Linked DNA regions of Arabidopsis thaliana. The protein of the gene in region 2 interacts with the protein of the main gene of each other region in a pairwise test. Each region holds a gene or a part of one and is shown on either strand. Other genes may lie near its edges.

Region 1 (7,145 bases), about 12 Mb from region 2:
GGGAAGTCAAGAATGCAAGGATGGTTCCTTCTTTCTCTGTTTTATGTATTTCCACTGCCATCTTAACAACATCACCAGCATATGAAGCAATGCGGCCAACAACAGAATTCTCTTCTGTGCCACTAGGGGAATATACAATCTCCACCGGAAAGTTCCTCCCATTGACATGAAGAATACCACAATCGAACAAATACTGTGAAAGTTGGTTGGCGTCAGCCGTGGCAGACATGATAACAAGCCTCAGGTCAATCCTTCTGGATAGCAACTTTCTAAGCAATGCCAAAAGAAGGTCCGTGTTTAAGCTTCTTTCATGAGCTTCGTCAATAATAACACATGAAATGCCAGACAAACTCCGATCTTTCATGTAGTGCTGAAGCAGACAATTATCCGTCATGTATACAACTTTGGAACTAATCTCCTCAGTAGACGAAAAAGTTGGAGTACAAGAAACAGTATTTTCCTCATAACAACCACTGCTTTCTTCTCTGACCCGATCAGTCAATGTCATGGCAGCAATCTTCCGTGGTTGTGTACAAACAATCGACTCACTAGCAGCAACTCCGGAATCAGCAAGGAACTGAACTAACTGAGTGCTCTTCCCTGAACCAGTTTCTCCAATCAACACCATTATCTACAAACACAATTAAAATCAATTCAAAATGACCAAACACAGACTCATTTATAAAACTGAACCTTAGCAGACAATATGAACTAGTACAACAAGACAACAGCATAACTCGAATATCTGTACTCAAGTGATTCAAAACTAGCTTGGACCCAAAGAGCACTTGTCAACTTGGAGATTCTTAAAGATACCTGTTCACAATGAATTTTCTTCAAAATCTGCCGCCGGTAGGCATAGATAGGCAGTCCATCCTCTAGCCTTCGACACTCTCTAAGAATCAAATAATGAATACGTCTCCAATCATAGGCCCCTTCCAAAGAAAACACGGCCACGTCTTCGTCATCTTCATCATCTACATCAAACTCATACCCGTCTTGTCCTATGAGATATCGCAAAATGCTCTTCATGGCATTATTGAATTCGTCAAGCCGATTCACAACCAAATCTCTCTCCGCTTCAAGAGCCTTCTTTTTCTCAAAAACCTCAAATTTCAGACCCCTTTTAGACGAAAAGGACGCAACTTGACGAGACTTGTCATCAATCTCCATTCTCACCTTCTTGACCCCTTGTCCATTTTCCATAAGCGAAAGAACATGAGACGAGAAAAGATCACGAAGCCTGTCTTTAAGCTCGTCCATGTCAGACGGAACAACAACATTAGGAATCAGCTCAGGAACAAAATCATGTCTCCCTTGAAGACGATAATCCCAAAGAGCCACAACGGCAGAACGCGCATCGACCCACTGACGAAAACTGAAGCTTGCAGCGATACAACCAAATTGAGGCACGTGAACTGATTCCTCCGGAATTTCGCAAAGCAAAGCGATACTCTCGATCTCTTGCTTCTTAGACAGCTTTGTGTCACTGTTAGCGGCGGCGGGGTGAAGCAGCTGAACGATGAAATTAGGCCTAGCCCGCGTGACTGGAGGAGAGAATCCCGACGACGGAGCACGATCACGTCTGTAATTTGGCGGGAAATTAGTGTTATGGTACTGAGAGTGTTGCTGGTTCCAAGTAGTACAGTGGTTGAGCGGCGGAGAAGATTGTGCAGAGCGAGAGTTATAACGGTTCGTTGAGGATGAGGGAAACGACTGCTGACGACGATCAGTCGTCGATCTCCCACCGTCTGAAGGAGGAAAAGAGTTCCTCATGATGAGATGATGCCAGTTTTTTTTCTTGTTAAGAATGAGAGAGCGAAAGAGAAAGAGTCAGAAGTTGAAAAGAGTCACAGAAGAGTCAGAGAGTTATATCAATCAATATTAAAACCCTATTAAAATTTATTTAACTTTTCGTCTACTCTTTCCTTTTTCTTTAACCTAATTTAATTTTCTTCTAATCAATATTAAAACCCATTTTGTTACTATCAATTCTTTAATTATTGGTTCGACCTATAGAAACATCCAGAAATCCAAATTTGAGGATAAAAGTGTTAAAGTAACATTTCTTAGTATTTCAATTTTATGTTTTTACCACATTTTAAAATTTAAGTTAGAAATAGTGTATCTACCAATGATATTGCCATATACGTATTAAAATGTACATATCATCAAAAGTAAATATGAAATCTTAAAGGTATTAAATAGTTAACTCATATTCTTGTAAAGTTTAATATTTGTATACCATTTAGATTTTATTCAAAGCATTGAATTTTATTAATAATTAGTTAGTAGTTTCAAAAACTATTTTAAAATCCCTACAAAAAAAAAACTATTTTCAAATCCCTACAAAAAAAAATACTATTTCAAAATAAAAGAAAATAGAAAATATTGAAAGCAGAAAATATAGAAAGGTGTTAACAAAATTATATAAAAGAAAAAACAAACAGAAAGTGTTACATGTTTTATATAAAAAACAATTTGGTTAAAAATTTCAATAACCTCATATCATTTTTTCTCATCTGCTTAATTAATGATATTCAAATGAGTTATTTTCAAAAAATATTGCTTATATAAGTGATGATATGATGCGGTTCGCTACAAATTTTTCGTGCCAATAAAAATTTCATATATTTTTCTACATTTTTTGTCAACATCATATATTATTATTTCCTAATTTTATTAGAACTCTCGTCTTTAAAAAGTTTTAAAAGCGTCATTTATCGTTCTTTTATCTACAAAAAAAAACAAGATTTCATGAGTCAGACAAGACAAAAGCCATAAACAACACAAAAGTCCTGCAAGATTGCTCACTTGGGCGGTTGGGCCTATATGAAAATTTACTATCTCAAAATTTAACTAAGAGCCCATAAAAACTGTAAGATCTTTGCTTTAAATCACATTGTCTTCATAGATTTTGTGATTCATGGTAGATTTGTGAAGATCTTTGGTCATCTTTTTGTTTACATTTGGCTTATTGAGTGTAGAGTGTGAACAATCTGCTATGAAGTTGGTAAAATTCTTTGGATCCAAACCTTTAAATCGTAGCATATTTACTATTTCACACTGCTAGGATCTGTTTATAGCTGATGCATTACTGGAATCTATGATGTTTACTGTGTTGGTCTGATATATAACAAGTTCTGAATTTTAAAATCAAATTCAATATCGAATTGGGCTTTTAATTAAGGTTAGGCCCATCAAATGTTTTTGACTCTTTAATAATTCCCTCTCTTTTGTCTTTTATTGTAAAATGCACACAATTTCGAAGAAACTGCCAATGGAGTCTCCATTTTCCAGCGCCATGCCAAGCTTGACTCTACGATGATAGCTTATTTGACTGCTTCAAAAAAAAACTTCAGAGAATTAATTTCGAGAATTTTCCCAATTTCAGATCATCGGAAAATTCTTACTATAATCTTTCTTATATCGCTTCTCTCAGTTACTTCAACGTTCTGGTCAGTTTCGGATATAAATGTTTTAATTTCTTAGTTTCCGTTTCTTCTTCTTCTTCTTTTTTTTTTTTTTCTGTTACTGTAAACTTGGGGATAACGAATTAAAGCGATCAAATCGATGTTCTTATGATTCAGGATCCGTTATAGCAAAAAAAGCTTGACTCATGGCTTTTGGCCGCAACAATCGTGTAAGGTTGTTGTTTGCTTGCTTTCTTTAATCTCTGTCTTTTTTTTTTTTTAGAATGAATTTACTGAGAAACTATGGATATGAATGATTCTCAGAAAAAATATTCTTTTTTGTTGATGATTTTTTGTTTAGGTTCAGAGATTGGATTTCAGAGGGAACAGAGTATGGTTACGGAAGAAATAAAGCTAGACCATCTCTAAACACAGTTTTGAAGAATGTTCGTAGAGGACTTAAGAAACCTTTAAGTTTTGGTTCACATAATAAGAAGAGAGATTCTAATTCTAGTACCACTACACAGAAGAATATTATAAACCCACAAGGATCTTTTTTACAGAACTGGAACAAAATCTTTCTTTTTGCTTCAGTGATTGCTTTGGCTATTGATCCATTGTTTTTCTATATTCCTATTGTTGATGGAGAAAGACACTGTCTTAATTTGCATCGTAACTTGGAGATAGCAGCTAGTGTGCTTCGCACGTTTATAGATGCTTTCTACATCATTCACATTGTGTTTCAGTTTAGAACTGCTTATATCTCTCCTTCTTCTCGTGTTTTCGGAAGAGGCGAGTTGGTTGATGATCCTAAAGCTATAGCCATCAAGTACCTCTCCTCCTACTTCATCATCGATCTTCTTTCTATCCTTCCACTCCCACAGGTAACCTTTAGTTCCTAATGGTTTTATAGTTCCTTCTTGATGGTTCTTTAATATTCTGTTGTATCTGCTGCAGCTTGTAGTCTTAGCTGTCATCCCCAATGTCAACAAGCCGGTCTCTTTGATCACTAAGGACTATTTGATAACTGTCATATTTACTCAATACATTCCAAGGATTCTTCGTATCTATCCACTTTACACTGAAGTTACAAGAACATCTGGCATAGTTACTGAAACCGCTTGGGCTGGAGCTGCTTGGAACCTATCTCTCTATATGTTAGCCAGTCATGTGTTTGGAGCCTTATGGTACTTAATATCAGTAGAACGAGAAGACAGATGCTGGCGTGAAGCTTGTGAGAAGATACCAGAAGTGTGTAACTTTAGATTTCTCTACTGCGATGGAAACAGTAGTGTTAGAAACGATTTCCTGACTACCTCGTGCCCGTTTATCAACCCTGATGATATAACAAATTCAACTGTCTTCAACTTTGGTATCTTTACTGATGCTTTAAAGAGTGGGATTGTTGAATCAGATGATTTCTGGAAGAAGTTCTTCTACTGCTTCTGGTGGGGTTTGCGTAATTTAAGGTTTGTAACACTCTCTCTATCTAGTTATTAGTAATTTAGGATTCATGTGACACACTTGATGGCTGGCTAAGATATGTTGAGCATGAAACACTAATCTGATCACTTGCTGTTTCTCACTCGCTGCAGTGCATTGGGACAAAATCTCAATACAAGCAAATTCGTTGGGGAAATCATATTTGCTGTATCAATTTGTATATCTGGACTAGTCTTATTCGCACTACTTATCGGCAATATGCAGGTATATATTCATTTCACTGCCTTTTTTCCATCACTTACTTGATCCCCAAGGAAGATAAAACACTACTGATGTTTCCACTTTCCATAACAGAAATACTTGGAATCAACTACAGTGAGGGAAGAGGAGATGAGAGTGAGAAAAAGAGATGCAGAGCAATGGATGTCTCATCGAATGTTACCCGATGACTTGAGGAAACGTATCAGAAGGTATGAGCAGTACAAATGGCAGGAAACTAGAGGAGTAGAAGAAGAAAACCTTCTGCGTAATCTCCCTAAAGACCTCAGGAGAGACATCAAACGCCATTTCTGCCTCGATCTTCTCAAGAAAGTAAGTGCTTCTAGTTCCACCTTATCTCTTTGATCCTCAAATTTGACATTTCATTCAAATAATCATTGATCGAATCAAATATATATAGGTACCTCTGTTCGAGATAATGGATGAGCAATTGCTAGATGCCGTGTGTGACAAGCTAAAACCAGTGCTCTACACCGAGAACAGCTATGCAATTCGAGAAGGAGATCCAGTGGAAGAGATGTTGTTTGTCATGAGAGGAAAACTGATGAGCGCCACCACAAACGGTGGCCGGACCGGCTTCTTTAACGCCGTATACCTAAAACCTAGTGACTTTTGCGGCGAAGATCTTCTCACATGGGCATTAGATCCTCAATCTTCGTCTCATTTTCCGATATCGACTAGAACAGTTCAAGCTTTAACCGAAGTAGAAGCCTTTGCTCTTGCAGCAGATGATCTCAAGCTTGTTGCTTCACAGTTCAGACGACTACATAGCAAACAGCTTCAACATACTTTCAGGTTTGTTTGGTCTCTTTTGACTGATCTCTCTGCTTCTCCAATCTCCGGTTCTGTTTGGTTTAATTCGGTTTAACTGTCAGGTTTTATTCGGTTCAATGGAGAACTTGGGGTGCGTCTTTCATACAAGCGGCGTGGCGGAGACATTGCCGGAGGAAACTAGCTAGATCATTAACCGAAGAAGAAGATCGATTCCGAAACGCGATCACAAAACGCGAACGCAATGCGGCGTCTTCGTCTAGCCTGGTTGCAACGTTATACGCGTCGCGGTTTGCTTCAAACGCGCTTCGCAATCTGCGTACAAACAACCTACCTTTGCTACCTCCTAAACCCTCCGAGCCTGATTTCAGTCTCCGAAACCCTTAAAATATCTCTTACACATGTCCACTTACCACTTGTATATAATATTGTGTCAACGACATTAAAGCTTAAACTAATTACAAAAATTTAGTGACCCTATTTTATAGGCACGATGCTCCAATGGTCACTTTTAAAATAGAGTTTCCTCAAAAATAGGAAAAAAATAGAGACTAAATGTAGAGATCTTTATTTATAGAGATGATATCTCCTCTATTTTAAAGAAAATTCTATTTTACATGTGACCATTGGAGCAGCCTCTAAAATAGAGTCATATCTATAAATAAAGGAAAATATAGAGATCACTATTGAAGATACCTTTATAAAAATAAAACATGGTTATATATATGAATTTGATAACTTTAGGTAACCTTAATTTTTTTTTTAGTTTTAAAAGCTTTGGAGTAAATATAACAAATTTATTTAAAAATTGTTTTTTCATGTGTGTGTTTTGACCAAAAAAAAACAAATAACATGTTTAACCAATAACATACAATTTATCATGTTATTTTATCTAAGAGTAATTTTTCCATATATATATATTTATTATAAGATTCAATTGTAGATAATTTTTACTTAATAATACATCATTTACCATATCATATATAGATATTAGTTTGGTCAAATTGTACAAAAAAAATCGATTTCTCCTGACCGACATAGATTCAGACAATATAAAGCCCAGTCATAAACCCAAAAGTGTGGATAAGATAATAATCTTAGCCCAACAAGCAGCGAGAGAGAGAGAGACTTATTATTAGGGCTCCGTCAAATTTCCCCAATTTCTCTCTGATTCCTCTCTAGAAATCGAACTTCTTCTTCTTCGTCCAAGCTTTTGAATCGAAAATCGATGGCGGATCA
Region 2 (8,453 bases):
TTAATAGGAAATGATGCTTTTGACTTTTTGTTCTTCAACGGTTACAAAATAGTAGTATCCTTTTGATACAAAACGCAGTGACCATTTTCTTAAGCATTAACATTACTCAATGAAGATTATGAAAGCAATGAAGAAGCTCACGTTCTGGTCAAGAAAGAAGAGGAAACGTAAGCAAGCTTGCCCATCTCAGCCTCACCATTGCTCTTGTGAGTACTCTTCCACGGCAGTAGCGGTGTTGGTTGAGCCCACAGCGCCTCCTCTTCCGTATTGGTTCGATGAGACTCGGAGTCTTTGTCCCCCAGAGACATCATCATTTCCTTGGACTACTCATCACTTACCTCACCAACAAGAAGAAACCATCGTTGAAGCAACCCCGTTGTTGTCTCAAGTGTCTGATCTTCGCATCTACCAGTCTTATCAACAGTACATGGTGCCGAATCCAACTAGTAACGTCCACTTTGTAGAACCAGCTACAGCAAAGAGATCAGTGGGAATATTCGGTTGTGTCATCGAGTTAAGTTCGAGTCTAGTTCGTTGTTTCATACCGTAATTTGAGCAGTTTTATGGAAACCAATTTGCGAGAATAATTCAACATCTTTTAACATGTTACGTGTATCATCTTTGCATCTTCTCAATTACATAAGCATCGAGTTAAGGTCATAATCTTTTTAGAAATGTAAAATAATAAAACAGGTTGTAATACAATAATTTTTGATGGTATTTTGAAATTTTCTTTTATCTTATAACATAAGGTCGTGAAATCCACCTAATTGGTTTCTGGCGTAAATGCATTTACCCTCTAATTATAAAAACAAAGTGGATTACAGACAAACATTTCTTCTGCAATAAAATCATGAATTCACCTAATTGGTTTTCTGACGTTAAAACATTACCCAAAACAACAAAGTGGGCCTACGGACCAAATTCCAGCTATAAAATAATTAAAGTAATATTTTTAAAAAAGGACATAAAGTCCAATGCACGACCGAATGAATTCCACGTGGCAAAATACTGAGTTAACTTACACTTCTTCACTTGCACTTTCCACATCACACACGCCTCACTTACCCTAAAACCACAGGAACACTCCAAAACTCTTCCTCTTCCTCTTCCCTCAGAAATTTCAGCAAATCTCATCGGATTTTGACTGATCATTATGTACGGACGTGATCCATGGGGTGGTCCTCTAGAGATCAATGCGGCGGACTCCATGACAGACGACGATCGTAGTCGAAACCTACAAGACCTTGACCGTGCGACTCCTTCGCGGCCACTCGACGAAACGCAACAGAGTTGGCTTCTTGGACCAAAAGTGCTTAAGAAGAAAAAGTACGTCGATCTTGGATGTATCTTAGTCAGCCGTAAGATCTTTCTTTGGACTCTTGGAACCATTGTAGTAACTGCTCTTCTCTCTGGATTCATAACTTTGATCGTTAAAACATTGCCACACCACCACCACAAGGAACCACCACCGGATAATTACACTATCGCTCTCCGTACAGCTCTCAAGTTCTTCAATGCTCAACAATGTAAGCACTAAAACTTTGAGATTTTTTCTTCATGTCTCAATTTTGATTTCTTATGTGATGTTGATGTTGCTTTGCAGCTGGGAAACTTCCAAAGAACATTTATAATGTATCATGGAGGCATGATTCTTGTCTACAAGATGGTAAGGGAGATCCAGGACAATGCTACAAAGATTTGGTAGGAGGTTACTATGATGCTGGAGATTCTATCAAATTCAACTTCCCAATGTCTTATGCTATGACTATGTTGAGCTGGAGTGTAATCGAATACAGCGCAAAGTACCAAGCTGCTGGCGAGCTTGAACATGTTAAAGAACTCATCAAATGGGGAACTGACTACTTTCTCAAGACTTTCAATAGTAGTGCTGATAACATCTATGTTATGGTGGAACAGGTAAGAAAAAAAAAACAGAGTTTAGAAAAACTTACTTACTTCGCTGTTTCAGCTACTAACGTTTGCTTTTTCATAGGTCGGATCTGGAGTTAGCGGTAGAGGAAGTGAATTGCACAATGACCATTACTGTTGGATGCGTCCTGAGGATATTCATTATAAAAGGACTGTATCTCAATGTTACAGTAGCTGCTCTGATCTTGCTGCAGAGATGGCAGCTGCTCTGGCTTCTGCATCCATTGTATTCAAGGACAACAGATTATATTCGAAAAATCTTGTTCATGGTGCTAAGACGCTTTATAGGTTTGCAACTACTTCTAGGAATAGATACAGTCAAAATGGTAAAGAGTCTAGCAAATTTTATAACTCTAGCATGTTTGAGGATGAGCTATTATGGGGTGGTGCTTGGCTGTATTATGCTACTGGAAATGTAACTTATCTAGAACGAGTTACCAGTCACCACATGGCTGAGAAAGCTGGTGCCTTCGGGAATAGTCCTTATTATGGCGTATTTAGCTGGGACAACAAGCTTCCAGGGGCTCAGGTTAGTTACTCTATGAGACATTCTTTGTTCTGTTTTTGGAATTTGTAGTCAATGCTTAGTTTCTGGATTTATGTGGTCTTTTGAAGTTGCTGTTAACACGGATGAGGCTGTTTCTGAGCCCTGGATATCCATATGAAGACATGTTAAGCGAATTTCATAACCAAACAGGCAGAGTTATGTGCTCTTACTTGCCTTATTACAAGAAATTTAACAGAACCAATGGTGAGTTGTCTGTGAATTTGAGGATTTGCACACGTTTTGAAAACGTGATCAAGAAAATAATCTCGGTATCATCTCTGCAGGAGGTTTGATTCAGTTGAACCATGGAGCTCCACAGCCTCTTCAATATGTTGCAAATGCGGCTTTCTTAGCGGCACTATTCAGTGATTATCTAGAGGCTGCTGATACTCCCGGATGGTACTGTGGTCCTAACTTCTATACTACTGAATTCCTACGCAACTTTTCAAGATCGCAGGTATGATTCACAAATGAAGGAAAACAAACAAGATTTTGAAGGAGCTTATCTGATGGAACTTTGTGTCTTTTGTTTTGGCAGATTGATTATATACTTGGTAAAAACCCTCGGAAGATGAGTTATGTTGTGGGTTATGGGCAACGGTACCCGAAACAAGTGCATCACAGAGGAGCTTCAATTCCAAAGAACATGAAAGAAACCTGCACAGGAGGATTTAAATGGAAAAAGAGCAAAAAGAATAACCCAAACGCTATTAATGGAGCAATGGTTGCTGGACCAGACAAGCATGACGGATTCCACGACATACGAACAAATTACAACTATACAGAGCCGACTCTAGCGGGAAATGCTGGTCTAGTCGCCGCTCTGGTGGCTTTATCAGGGGAAAAAGCGGTTGGTGGTATTGACAAAAACACTATGTTCTCTGCCGTACCTCCATTGGTTATGGCTACACCGCCGCCTCCAGCACCTTGGACACCTTGAAGAAAAATAAAACTTTTCGAATGTAATAAGTCATTTTTTTGCCTTAATAAAACGTAGCTTCAAGTCAGAAAAAGTAGTTTTCTTTAGCTTAATACAAAAAATGCGGTCTGAGAAACCAAACATTTATTGTTTTCTCTCTGGGTTTGTGAGGTATACAGTGTATTATTCTTTGTTTTCTATTTTGTAAGCAGTTGAGTGAGACCGAAGAAAGGTTTTGTGCTTTAGTAATAGATAGATAACCCAAATGTTGTTCTTTCTCTCTATTCTTTTCCCTCGTCTTCTTCCGCGTTTATTCTCTGCCTTAAATAATAATAATATTAATTCAGAGTTGTCTCCATCTTGGAGGTGCAGAAATGGCAGAAGCAAGGTCTGGTTCTCTTGAGTATACACCCACATGGGTCGTTGCGTTTATCTGTTTCATCATTGTTCTCTTATCTCTTCTCGCTGAACGTGGTCTTCATCATCTTGGAAAGGTCCAATATCACTATCTCTGTTTGTAGTAATCTTGAGGTTTTAAGTTAAAATCTTTTTCCAACTTTCCGTTCTCTCTGTTTCAGTGTCTGAAGCGTAGGCAACAAGATGCCTTGTTCGAAGCCTTGCAGAAACTCAAAGAAGGTATTGTACTTCTTCCCTAAACATGAAATGGTTGATTTGATTACACCTGACACCTGACCATATTGATGTCCTGACACAGAATTGATGCTTCTTGGATTTATCTCCCTGATGTTAACGGTATCTCAGGCCGCAATTCGGCATATCTGTGTCCCACCAGCTCTTGTAAACAACATGTTTCCCTGTAAGAAGCCATTGGAGGAGCATCATGCGCCTAAATCATCTCATTCGATTATCAACAATGCACGACATCTCCTTTCAACAGGAGAAAGTCCAGACCATTGTGCTGCCAAGGCAATCATTCTTTGCTGTTTTGCTAGTTTCCTTTCTCTTACTGGATCTCTTTCTATTAACCATTGATCTCTTGGTATGGCTGCAGGGGCAGGTTCCATTAGTATCTGTGGAAGCGTTGCATCAACTCCATATCTTCATCTTTGTGCTAGCGGTTTTTCACGTCATCTTCTGCGCCTCAACCATGGTTCTTGGAGGAGCAAGAGTAATACCACTTGCTTTTATAGCTTTTTGCTCAAGTTACCAAACAACATTAAACCCCTTTATTTCAAAAGCTGGCTCTGATTAATTTTATTGATGTGAAATAATATGTAGATACAACAATGGAAACATTGGGAGGATTGGTTCAAGAAACGTCCTTCTCAAAAGGGTGAGCGAGATTCCACAATAGTAATTAACAGTTACTTTGTACCTTAACACACGCAAAGTACATAACATAATGTCGCAGGCACTACAAGGCGTGGTCATCATGCTCATGCTCACGAGTTATTCAGTGCAAATCACGAGTTCTTCGAGATGCATGCTGGAGGATTTTGGAGAAGATCTGTTGTCATCAGCTGGGTGGTGAGTAATGGATATATATACTACTGCCAAAAGTATAACACATGAATCAAATTATATTCTAATGAGATTAGCCAATGTGTACTGTTTGTTGCAGAGATCATTCTTCAAGCAGTTTTATGGTTCTGTCACCAAATCAGAATACATAGCTCTGCGACAAGCATTCATCATGGTCTTACTTTTACTGTCTTATTCCAACATCTTATTTAGGTTACTAAATCTCTTATGTAACAATACTTATACTTTTCTTACCTTGCTAGAGTCATTGCCGCACAAACCCATCATTTGATTTTCACAAGTACATGCTAAGAACACTGGAAATAGATTTCAAGAAAGTTGTGAGCATAAGGTAAAATAATCAAATCAGCTCTCTAAACAGACAAACCAATTTATGGCTTAATGAGTTTTGTCTGACACCTTTTTGTTGATGTCATACATAATTATAAAGTTGGTATCTATGGCTCTTTGTCGTCGTCTTTTTGCTGCTCAATGTTGGAGGATGGAACACTTACTTCTGGTTATCTTTCTTGCCTTTGATTGTAAGTTCTTATATATGATTGGGCTCTTTTGTCACTTTTGATCTCATTTTATCTTTTTGAATAGTTAAAAAGTGTTTCAAAAATGCAGTTGTTACTAATGGTGGGTGCCAAGTTGGAATATATAATAAGTAGCTTAGCTTTGGATGTTTCCGAGAAGCGAAGCCGCGCGGAAGAAGCAGTGATCACACCTTCTGATGAACTCTTTTGGTTCCATAGGCCAGGCATTGTTCTCCAACTCATCCATTTCATTCTCTTTCAGAATTCATTTGAGATTGCTTTCTTCTTCTGGATTTTGGTACGTTTTCTTTCAACCCTCAGCTTCACTTTCTTTATCTTCCACAATTTTTGAACCATCGCATTCTTATTTACGAGTTATCCATCGTATCATCAGTTCACATACGGAATACATTCATGTATCATGGAGAAACTAGGCTACCTTATCCCAAGACTCGTCATGGGGTAATATATGAACTCTTTTAAATCTAAATATCAACCTTCAAAAGGTCTAATTAATATTTTTGGTTCGATCTTTGTTCATACAGAGTGTTAGTCCAAGTGCTTTGCAGTTACAGCACATTACCACTATATGCCCTTGTTACACAAGTAAGTGACACATATATATTCACATGTTTACACCAATTCACAACAAATTTGAATCAATTGTTGTTGTTGTTTTGCTCGGTTTTTAAAAGATGGGTAGCAAATTCAAGAAAGGGATATTCGACAATGTAGTACAGTCCACACTGGAAGGATGGTTAGAAGATACGAGGAACAGAGGCGAATCCACGAGCGAGGCTCATAGGATAGAGATGCAACCTACAACTCCTGAATCTTATAATGTCCAAAGTGAAAACCCTTAATTAAGTTGCAATTTGTGTCGTAATCCAATAAGGCTATCCCTTTATTATTTCACATTTAGAGCTCTCATCAGAGGATTGTGTGCATCTATGACATTGACGCCAACGTTCCTTTCTACTTTTGAGGCTACTAGATTAAGTTGACTTGTTACTTTTTATAAGAAAGCTTCGATGATACATGGATTGATATATAATTAAAAAGCTTCTATGTTATTTACTTTCACAACGTTTAAATTTTCAATGATGTTATCGGATGTAGCTTAATTTTTCAGAGTGGCAAATTTAAATTTTTATATAAGTACCTTTTTTTGTTGATAAGATAAATTTATCCCATCTTCTAAAGAGAAGAACTTTAGAATTGCTTTTAAATAAGATAAATTTTATATTTTAACAATAACAAATTACTCGAACTCATTGTCATTTTTCAATTTAATACTTAAAACGATTTGTAGACGTTATAGAATTTCTAAAAAGGTCGTTAACTTTGTAAGGGAGAAAAATACTAAATAACATTGCATTTGAACGTTTTCTTTTACTAATCTCTAAAATAAAATAAAAAATATGGAATGCTTTTTTTTTTTTTTGACTAAGTGAATGACTTTTTAAATTCTATTAATGGATATGTTGTAAAATACTCTTTTTGTATCACTTTAAGTGATGTTTAAAGGTTTTATACACAAATTAAGAAAACACATAATTTGTGTATCACTTTAATCCTACCTCTTTTACATATAATACAATTAAACAAATTTTAACTAATTAGATAACATACTCTAAAATATGATTGGTCTAAAAAATTTTAAAACATCTTTTTAAAAAAAGTCTCTAAAACATCACTTAAAAGTGATATTGAAGAGTTATAACGCAATGATGCATGAATAGCTGATTTTCTTGGTAACAAAATTTTGTAGTAAAGCTTTAAATTTTTTACTAAATGTTGAAGTACTTTACACTTGAATTTATAGCCGTTAACATAATCATAAACATTGTCAACTTTGTTGGAAAAAACACACTTAAAAGGATAACGACATTGCATCTGAGGTTTTTCACTAATGCTGAAATAAATACTTATTAGAGCTACTTATTATTTGATCGACAACTTTTCTAGTTTCTATAAACGTGTGTTAAGTTGATTTGACTATGTAATCTACAAATAGTTCTTTTTTTTTTTGTTTAACGAAATTTGAATTGCAATTTTTTCCAATTACCAGCATAGCATTATGGTCAGTTGAATCTAAATTAACTGATAATTTCCCTAAAAACTCAAATAGTTCTGCAAGTAAGAAAAGAATCAGAGATTTGACAAAAATAGTGCACTAAATATATATTATCCTAGAAATAAATAAACAGAAAAGGACATTCACATGATTCAACTTCCATCAAGATCCACAACGTTCCTCTCTCGTCTTTATCTCCCCTCCCTCTATTTCCTCCAATCAAAAAGAAAGATAAAGCAAAAGCTTTTCAAAAAGAAAAGAATAAAAAAGTGCAGTGCGGGCCCACTCTGTCGTTGACTAATCTGGATAGTGGTCACACACAGACAGTTCCCCTCAAACTCGAGAAACTAAAGAGTTTTGTCATGATTCATCGTCGTCGTCTCGAGAACCAAAGCATGGTTGTGGTCTCCTTCGTACGTCACGATTAGCATCATCGCATCATCTAGTGCACGCTCCACATGCTTACGCGCCGGACAACCTCTTACACTGCTGCACTTGTAATATCCCCTGTCATAACCATTACACCGAGTCCTCCCCAGTTAGTTCGAGTTCTTATTAATTAATGAGAAAAGAAATAGTCAACTTAACTCTCGGCTTTCTATTTCAAATTTATTCTATAGGAAACAACAAGTCAAAAAGAGCGTGAAACTGAACCCACTACTGTACTACTAGACAACATGTTTGGTACAACCGATATAGAAAAAAACAATATTGACAATCTCTCTGGTACTAATATTGACAATACACAAGTTGCTTAATTTTCTAGCCAATATTTGATTTTTGGTGTTGAATCTAGTGAGTGATTGTGATGTATGTGTAGAGTATATATATCGATGGTAAAAAATGTAAAAAATAATTACCGAGGATGAGGAGAGCCTTTGATTGGTTTTTGACCATATTTTCTCCATGAAAACTCATCTGATGGTATATCAGCCATTTTGCTACTTACTGCTGGAA
Region 3 (8,042 bases), on a different chromosome or scaffold from region 2:
TGCCTAGTGGCTCCAAGACCAACATTGTGAGGGAAAATAGTAGCGTTATAGACATTGTTATGCCCGTGAACGGCATCAATGCCATATATCATAGGAATTCCCAAACGACTAACTAGAGCCCCCTTTTGGTACTCATTTATCATATCAACCCAATTCTGAGCACTTGCCTCAGGAAGTGGAGCGCTCCCACCACCACTCAATACACTGCCTGTACAGAACAAACAGACAACTTCAATTTTCAAGTTTCACAAATACAGATACTCAATACCAAGTCAAGTTACGCAGCTTATCTAGTTCTTTATTAACAAGATGATGAGAAACTGAAGTTCAATGAAAGCAAAAACTGAATGATATCCTCATTTCACCTAACAACACCAGTAGCACCGACCAGTTTTCTAAGGAAACCATACAAGATGCCCAAAATAAGGTTTAAATGAACCAATTAAACTAGCCAAGCAAGTAAGTAATCAGATTTCTGGAAATCTCCAAGAAAGATTGTTCTTTTACATACCGATGAAGTAATCTCTCATAATGTTGACAGTGGCAACACTTCTATCAATCTGCACCATCTGGCCAATCTTCTCTTCCAAAGTCATTCTACCAAACAAATCCGCAACTCGATCTGACACCGTCTGTTTCGGGTCCTTGTACAACAGATACTCTCCATCCCCATAACAACAAACCCACATACACATCCATAGAAGAACCCCAACGATTCTTACTGAATCTCTGCTCATCTTCGTAACAGGGGAAACTCTGGCAAAACAACAAAGACGGAAGAAACTCAAGATAAGAAAGACTTGTCACTTGTCAGCTTAAAAAAGAAACCCCCAAAATTGTGAAACCTTGGTGCTTATCAGCAGCCAACCAAGAAAACAAAAAAGCAACTTCGTTATTCATCAGTGACAAGAAAGAAGAAAAAAAGCAAAAATAAAAGCAAGCTTTTTAAGATTTACTGTTCGAATTTCAACAAAAGATTGAATAAGCACACGAATCCGTAAGAAGTACTTTCTCATTTTCTTATTTTCCAAACGAATCATTATAAAGCTACTAGCCTCATACAAGAAACCAAGAACCAAGCTAGCCAAGAAAACAAGAAATAAGAAGAAGCATACATTGGGGGTAAGGAAAAAGGCAAGATTCAACAGTAGAGAATGGAGGAAGAAAGAAGAACTTACATGTGAGAGTTAGGCAGAGCAAGACCAGAAAATATCTGATTCTTCTTCGCTGAGAATTTTTATATGAGAAAATAAAGAGTAGTTAATAAACGCTTTTAAGCAGATTTGAGAAAGAGAGAGAGAGTGTTAAAAGACGTTGATGCGGTTTTGTGTTGTTTTTATTGGGACGTGGGGTTGGCTCACGTTTTTCCACAAAACATCTGTACCAGTCTACACTGCATAATGATGCATAACGACGAACAAAGCGGCGTCGTTTTAGTTTTTTAAAAAAGTTTCTTTCTTTTTTGACTTCTTACTTTTTTTTATTACTGAAAAGTATCGTACTTGCTTTAACGTACCTTGGACACGTGTCAGTAGGCGGGAGAATCGGATTCCTCGACTCTTATCTCACGCTAAACCGGCGATTCTCCGCCTCCCGCCGCCGCTTCGTCTATCTCTATGGCCTCCGTTGCGAACACTGAACTGCTCAATACGCTTCTACTGTATCTTCCTCATAAGCCTTCGCGAGGTTTCTGAGTCGCTGCTCTGTGTATCCACCGCCGTAAAAAGCTCTCCTTTTTCCTCTCCGATTCTTCTTCTGTCGACTTTGTCTCCATCCTCGGATCATGATGACGGGAATAGGAGCCGTTTGATTGAGGTTAGGGATTTAAGTGCTTGTGATTGTTGAATTGTGGAAGAAAGGAGAGATTTTTCATGTTAATGAAACACTAGTACATATAGACGTTGTGAAGTTTGTTAGCCGTGATTCTATTGGATATTATTTCTGTACTAAGAGAGCATTAGCTAAAATTTCTGACAAGCTTAACTAATTCCAATTGTGTGAATCATTTGCATCATTGCTGATATTTCCTAACTAATATTATGAAAGGTTGAGGCTCGTAAGTTTTTTGCTTATGAACACATTTTTTCAAGGTAAGTTTCTCAATCTTCATGTTGTTGAAACATATGATTCCTAGAGTATCTCTACTCGTACCCCTCTCATAAATCATTGTGTTTAAAGCCGAGCATCTGCATGATATGTAAGGATCTCTTGCGGTTCTCTTCTTGAGTCTCCAAACTCCAGTTGAGATCCCTGGTGTTAGCAATATGGATTTTCTCGAGAATATAGTATTTGATGCTAGGAACAGAAAACCTGGTCAGCCAAAGATTGAGCCAATGTAGGTGTCTTCGCGCATTAGTCAGTTAGATGGTTTTGGACTGTTACTTAGTTGATGGTGCACACTCATATATCTGATATAGAATTGTGTTCATGCAGTTGGAGGATTTAGAGGTGGCGAAAAGAAGCATAAAGAGATTCTTCCATTTCCAAGCGCAACACATGATAAGAAAGGTGAGGGTTTTCTTACCTTATTTTCCGGTCAATGGAAGACACACACTTGAATACCGTCATTTCCCTTTCCCACACTTGTTCTCTATTAGTGTCATAAACAGAATGCCGAATAGGTTACTTTTCATTTTATAGTCATGACTAGGAAATTTTGTTCCTCATAGCAAGATATGGAAACAGTTGTCAATTTAATTTCGTCATAGTGAAAAGGATCAATCAAGGAACAAGTACGGAAAAGATTGAGAATCTCTGTAATAAGGATCATCTGTTTTTGGAGGTCCTTGGATGTTTACTTGATCAGGACGTGGCAGAGGCAATGAACAGACTTTTGTCACCAAAAAACGCTGTTGTGATGATTGATAATCTACTATCAGAACATACTGCACTACATCAAACCAAGTCTCATACACATCATAGTGAGCGTCTTTGCCACAAATCATATCTTCTTAAATACTGATTCAAACCACCATCTCTTGATAACAATAGTGAGCTTCGTTTTTGTTTTAGGCAAGCATTCTTTCCATATCAAATCAATAACAGAGTGTCCAGAGATTCATACCGTTCTATTGCAGTAGGGACATCTCATTGGCTTATCTACTGGAAAAAGGAAGGGTGCTTGAGTGTTCCGTTAGGACCAGCAAAAACAATGGAAAGTGGTGATCATGATGTTTAGAACACCAAACTCGCCGTCTCTACAATATTAGTTCTGGTCTAGGTTTTGATCTTCAATAATAGCTGTGGTCGGAAGGAGTAATTAGGGTAAAACATAAGGGCGAAGACAAGAATGTGTAGAGCATGTGATTTGTTCAAGCTTTAACATGTGGATGTCTTATTTTTAATGACTGCTCTTTAATATGTGGGTTTTGTTTGCGCATTTTTCACTTGCGGGTTATATTTTTCAAAAGTAGTAAATGATGGGACCATTATAAAAAGGATGTTATTAGGACTCCAGAAAGGAAATTGATTTTATGGAAAATCACCTTTTTACCTCAAAGTTTTAATATATTACTAATTAAGTACCCTTACATAAGAAGCTGCGTTGCCAAGATTGAAGAGGGTGGTGGACTTTGTAATCAAAGATTAATTAAAAAGAGAGTTAAGACAAATCTCAGCGGAAAACTCGGCGGTGATAGATAATCAAAACAAAAGAAACGCGTTTTTCAAACTGGTTCAATCTTCTTCTTCGTCTTTCTTCATCGTCTTCTTCTCTATACAGACCTTGACTCTCTCATTAAATTAACAAATGTCCCTACGGTTTATGCAAGTGTAGTGCTATTAAACTATCCCTTTTATTTTCCCACCCAACTCAATTTATTTTCTCATTCTTTCTCTTTACTCTTCTTCAGATCTCTCTGTTTCTTTCTTTGTTGTTGTTATCTGGGGATGCTTTCTACTCTCTGTTTGGTTTCCTTCATTGTGACTTTCTATTTTCTGGGTTTGTTTCAAGTCATGATTTTTCCGATACCCTTTTGATTTTTCTTGCTATTTCTCACCTCTGTATAAGCAAGCTCTCTGCTGTTTCTCCTCATCCAAGTTGGGTTTATCAGTTCAGCTGTGTAGAAATTCAATCGTCTGAGAAGTCCGAGGTTTGATGTCTGATGGTTTTAAGATCGAAAGGATTTGACTTTTATCAGATTAGTAATGAGATTAGATTGTTTTTGAGGTTATTGTAATCAGATCTTGATGCTATTTCTGGTGAAAGAGATTTAAGACAAGTTAGGGAATGGGTAATACTTGTGTTGGACCAAGCAGAAATGGCTTCTTGCAATCTGTTTCAGCTGCAATGTGGCGGCCAAGAGATGGAGATGATTCGGCTTCCATGAGTAATGGAGATATTGCAAGTGAAGCTGTTTCGGGAGAGCTTCGATCTCGATTATCTGATGAAGTCCAGAATAAACCTCCTGAACAGGTCACAATGCCGAAGCCAGGGACTGACGTCGAGACCAAGGACAGAGAGATTCGAACTGAAAGCAAGCCTGAAACGCTAGAGGAGATAAGCCTTGAGTCCAAACCAGAGACTAAGCAGGAGACCAAGTCAGAGACCAAGCCGGAGTCAAAACCTGATCCTCCAGCTAAACCTAAGAAGCCTAAACACATGAAGAGAGTGTCAAGTGCAGGGCTTAGGACTGAGTCAGTGTTGCAGAGGAAGACTGAAAACTTCAAGGAATTCTATTCCTTGGGAAGGAAACTCGGACAAGGGCAATTTGGGACGACTTTTTTATGTGTCGAGAAGACTACGGGGAAGGAGTTTGCCTGCAAGTCGATTGCTAAGAGGAAGCTATTGACTGATGAGGACGTTGAGGATGTGAGAAGAGAAATTCAGATAATGCATCACTTGGCTGGTCACCCTAATGTCATCTCCATCAAAGGAGCTTATGAGGATGTTGTGGCAGTGCACCTTGTAATGGAGTGTTGTGCAGGCGGCGAGCTTTTTGACAGGATCATTCAACGCGGTCACTACACAGAGAGGAAAGCGGCTGAGCTCACTAGAACCATTGTTGGGGTTGTAGAGGCTTGCCATTCTCTTGGTGTTATGCATCGAGACCTCAAGCCCGAGAATTTTCTGTTTGTCAGTAAACACGAAGATTCCCTCTTGAAGACGATTGATTTTGGACTCTCCATGTTCTTTAAACCAGGTTTGATTTCATTGTTACTCATCTTAAAAGATCCACTTCCAGATTTGGTCTTTAACGTGAATAGTGTGATCCTTGTCGAACAATTATTTCTGAACTCGATTCCCTTCCTCTTTGCAGACGATGTTTTTACAGATGTTGTTGGTAGCCCATATTATGTTGCCCCAGAAGTTCTTCGAAAGCGTTATGGCCCTGAAGCTGATGTCTGGAGTGCTGGAGTGATTGTGTACATTTTATTAAGCGGAGTTCCTCCATTCTGGGCTGGTAAGAATTGTATATATACAGATAAGAGATTTGTCACTTTTCCTAACTAGGCTCTGAACAACATCTCTAATCTTTTTGTTTCTTTGAACATTCAGAAACCGAACAAGGTATTTTCGAACAGGTCCTCCACGGTGATCTTGACTTTTCGTCCGATCCATGGCCAAGTATATCTGAAAGTGCAAAGGATTTAGTGAGGAAAATGCTTGTCAGGGATCCCAAGAAAAGGTTAACTGCCCACCAAGTATTATGTAAGTTATTTTGATCTGAAACCTTCTCTTCCAGTTAAAGCGCTGTGATTCTCTTTCTGTTAATTCCATTGAGCATAGATTTCACTACATGAATAAAGTGTGTTGTCATGTAGAGTGATCTACCATCGTTCTATCTCTTATGGAGTTGTGCTTCTTCTCAGGTCATCCATGGGTTCAAGTCGACGGTGTGGCTCCAGACAAGCCTTTGGATTCTGCTGTTCTGAGCCGTATGAAGCAGTTTTCTGCAATGAACAAGTTCAAGAAAATGGCTCTTAGAGTAAGCAGCTTTCCGATGCTAAACAAAATTTAAAACCATATAAAAGAAGTTCCTGTCATAAACATAAGATAGCTACATTTAACCCATCTTCCTCTTGTTATGTGGAAAGAAAGAGACGACGGAGATTAAGTTTCTCTCTTTATGCCTTTTTGCAGGTCATTGCTGAGAGCTTATCTGAAGAAGAAATCGCCGGCTTGAAAGAAATGTTTAATATGATAGATGCGGACAAGAGTGGTCAGATAACTTTCGAAGAACTGAAAGCAGGACTAAAACGAGTAGGGGCGAATCTCAAAGAGTCTGAAATTCTCGACTTGATGCAAGCTGTAAGTTTTAACCGGCATACCAGTTCCCTAACTAAGATTCTGAACTGATCTTGTTATCATTCAAACTTACTCTGTTGGTTGTGGTTATATACTTCTGTTTTTGCTAGATATGCAAGTAATCTGGTTTCTCTCTCATGTGTATATAATTCAGGCTGATGTGGACAACAGCGGAACAATAGATTACAAAGAGTTCATAGCTGCAACATTACATCTAAACAAAATAGAGAGAGAGGACCATTTGTTTGCAGCCTTTACATACTTTGACAAAGATGGGAGCGGCTATATCACCCCAGACGAGCTTCAACAAGCTTGTGAGGAGTTTGGTGTTGAGGATGTCCGCATAGAAGAACTGATGCGCGATGTTGATCAAGACAATGTAAGTTCCTTTACACCTTTTATCATCTCATCCTAATTATAAAATGACTTGAATACTTCTCAACAATGATCAAATTTCAATGGATTATATACATTTTACTCATAGGAATCTCACTTATATGATCCTCTTAAATCCTTGCATTATTAAAACTACACTTCACTTACCGAGTTTTCATGTCTGTTTTCTTGGGAAAACTGAGACGATTGAGTATGATTCTTGTTAAACCTAGGGGGATAGTAGAAACTCTCTTTCCTGAGAAACAGTGAAGTAAACCGAGTTTTCATGTCGGTTTTGGATTGATATATTGGTTGAATGTTGATAATGTTGAACATTTGAATTGTTGTATTGTAGGACGGGCGAATAGACTACAACGAGTTTGTGGCGATGATGCAGAAAGGAAGCATCACAGGAGGACCTGTGAAAATGGGTCTAGAGAAAAGCTTTAGCATTGCTCTTAAACTCTAGTTTCTCAGTCTATTTAAAAGTACAAAACTAAAGCCAAGAAGACAAAAGAGTTTTCTGATAATATATACCATTTTGATTATGTTGAAGACATATGCACACAGCCAAGATTCTCTCTTGCCCTCTTTTGGATTCTCTCAATCTTTTGGATGAGGTTTTGTCTTAGACTTGTTTTGGAAACTTTGTTGTATTGTGTTACTTCTTGAGCATATATAGTCTTCTAACATTACAAACCACGATTTCTTGTCTGTAAGTAAATTCAAAGAGTCAAAAAACTTGAACACGATTTGGAAATTTTGCGATAACGATCATCAAATTTTTGTGAGGGCTTTTTCTTGTAAAGCAAAAAGTTTGAGTATTTATGTGAAAATCGTTTAAAAGTTGAGGTACTTCTATGTAATTTCCCAGTTTTCTTTTTTTGAGAAATAAAATAACTTAACCGAATTTCAATTAATTTGTTGTCCGAATTATATAATTCAAGTCCTTACCGAATCTAAGCTGAAATCAAATTAAATTATAAGCAGATAATTAAATTGGTCACCGAAAATAATAGCCACCAAACCTCCTAATCCTAAACACGTAGTATTTTGAGATCTTTATTTTCCATTTACATAATTAATTTCTTTTTTATGATTGGAAAAAACGAATAAAATGATCTTTTAGCTAGTGTTTTTGGTCAACATAAATACCTAACTTACTCTTTAGAACAACAAAAAAAATGGAGGAAAAATATAAAAGTGGGTCTCACAATCAAGTTATTTCTCCAAAAATAAATAATTTAAAGCTTGCGTTTGTTGTTGACATTTAAAAATGTTTATTTTGGGGTACGACTTTTTAATTTATAAAATTATTAAATTGGTTTTATTTAAATAAACTGATTAAATTGTCTATTTCAAAACTGCGTCCCTATCCCTTTTAAATTTCCTAATTTCAGTCCACAAAACGTGATCATGA

The links.
Region 1: the proteins of MLO13 (region 2) and CNGC13 interact in a protein complementation assay, tested with the Arabidopsis thaliana proteins (one large-scale study listed by BioGRID).
Region 3: the proteins of MLO13 (region 2) and CPK1 interact in a protein complementation assay, tested with the Arabidopsis thaliana proteins (one large-scale study listed by BioGRID).

The regions. Positions count from the first base shown.
Region 1 is NC_003075.7:433,717-440,861, reverse strand, and holds CNGC13 (cyclic nucleotide-gated channel 13), read left to right. Parts: upstream 1-3,270; 5' UTR 3,271-3,458; exon of another isoform or gene 3,459-3,590; 5' UTR 3,591-3,619; coding exon 3,620-3,648; intron 3,649-3,774; coding exon 3,775-4,297; intron 4,298-4,370; coding exon 4,371-4,882; intron 4,883-5,008; coding exon 5,009-5,120; intron 5,121-5,210; coding exon 5,211-5,447; intron 5,448-5,535; coding exon 5,536-5,930; intron 5,931-6,010; coding exon 6,011-6,293; 3' UTR 6,294-6,645; downstream 6,646-7,145. Other genes in the region: AT4G01020 (helicase domain-containing protein / IBR domain-containing protein / zinc finger protein-like protein), read right to left, coding at 1-631, 817-1,776; AT4G01000 (Ubiquitin-like superfamily protein), read left to right, coding at 7,135-7,145. UniProt on the Arabidopsis thaliana protein: Putative cyclic nucleotide-gated ion channel.
Region 2 is NC_003075.7:12,572,837-12,581,289, reverse strand, and holds MLO13 (Seven transmembrane MLO family protein), read left to right. Parts: upstream 1-3,706; 5' UTR 3,707-3,772; coding exon 3,773-3,892; intron 3,893-3,976; coding exon 3,977-4,034; intron 4,035-4,113; coding exon 4,114-4,325; intron 4,326-4,410; coding exon 4,411-4,527; intron 4,528-4,637; coding exon 4,638-4,692; intron 4,693-4,770; coding exon 4,771-4,886; intron 4,887-4,980; coding exon 4,981-5,055; intron 5,056-5,143; coding exon 5,144-5,232; intron 5,233-5,331; coding exon 5,332-5,422; intron 5,423-5,510; coding exon 5,511-5,717; intron 5,718-5,813; coding exon 5,814-5,881; coding exon of another isoform or gene 5,882-5,885; exon of another isoform or gene 5,886-5,964; coding exon 5,965-6,025; intron 6,026-6,114; coding exon 6,115-6,282; 3' UTR 6,283-6,571; downstream 6,572-8,453. Other genes in the region: AT4G24265 (homeobox protein), read left to right, coding at 110-550; GH9A3 (glycosyl hydrolase 9A3), read left to right, coding at 1,157-1,529, 1,607-1,920, 1,997-2,461, 2,548-2,683, 2,764-2,936, 3,018-3,419; WRKY7 (WRKY DNA-binding protein 7), read right to left, coding at 7,844-8,003, 8,357-8,453.
Region 3 is NC_003076.8:1,416,064-1,424,105, reverse strand, and holds CPK1 (calcium dependent protein kinase 1), read left to right. Parts: upstream 1-3,551; 5' UTR 3,552-4,228; coding exon 4,229-5,141; intron 5,142-5,258; coding exon 5,259-5,402; intron 5,403-5,497; coding exon 5,498-5,650; intron 5,651-5,811; coding exon 5,812-5,927; intron 5,928-6,082; coding exon 6,083-6,250; intron 6,251-6,401; coding exon 6,402-6,626; intron 6,627-6,977; coding exon 6,978-7,091; 3' UTR 7,092-7,542; downstream 7,543-8,042. Other genes in the region: AT5G04885 (Glycosyl hydrolase family protein), read right to left, coding at 4-208, 512-756, 1,009-1,040. UniProt on the Arabidopsis thaliana protein: May play a role in signal transduction pathways that involve calcium as a second messenger. Phosphorylates the Ca(2+)-ATPase ACA2 resulting in the inhibition of its calcium activation.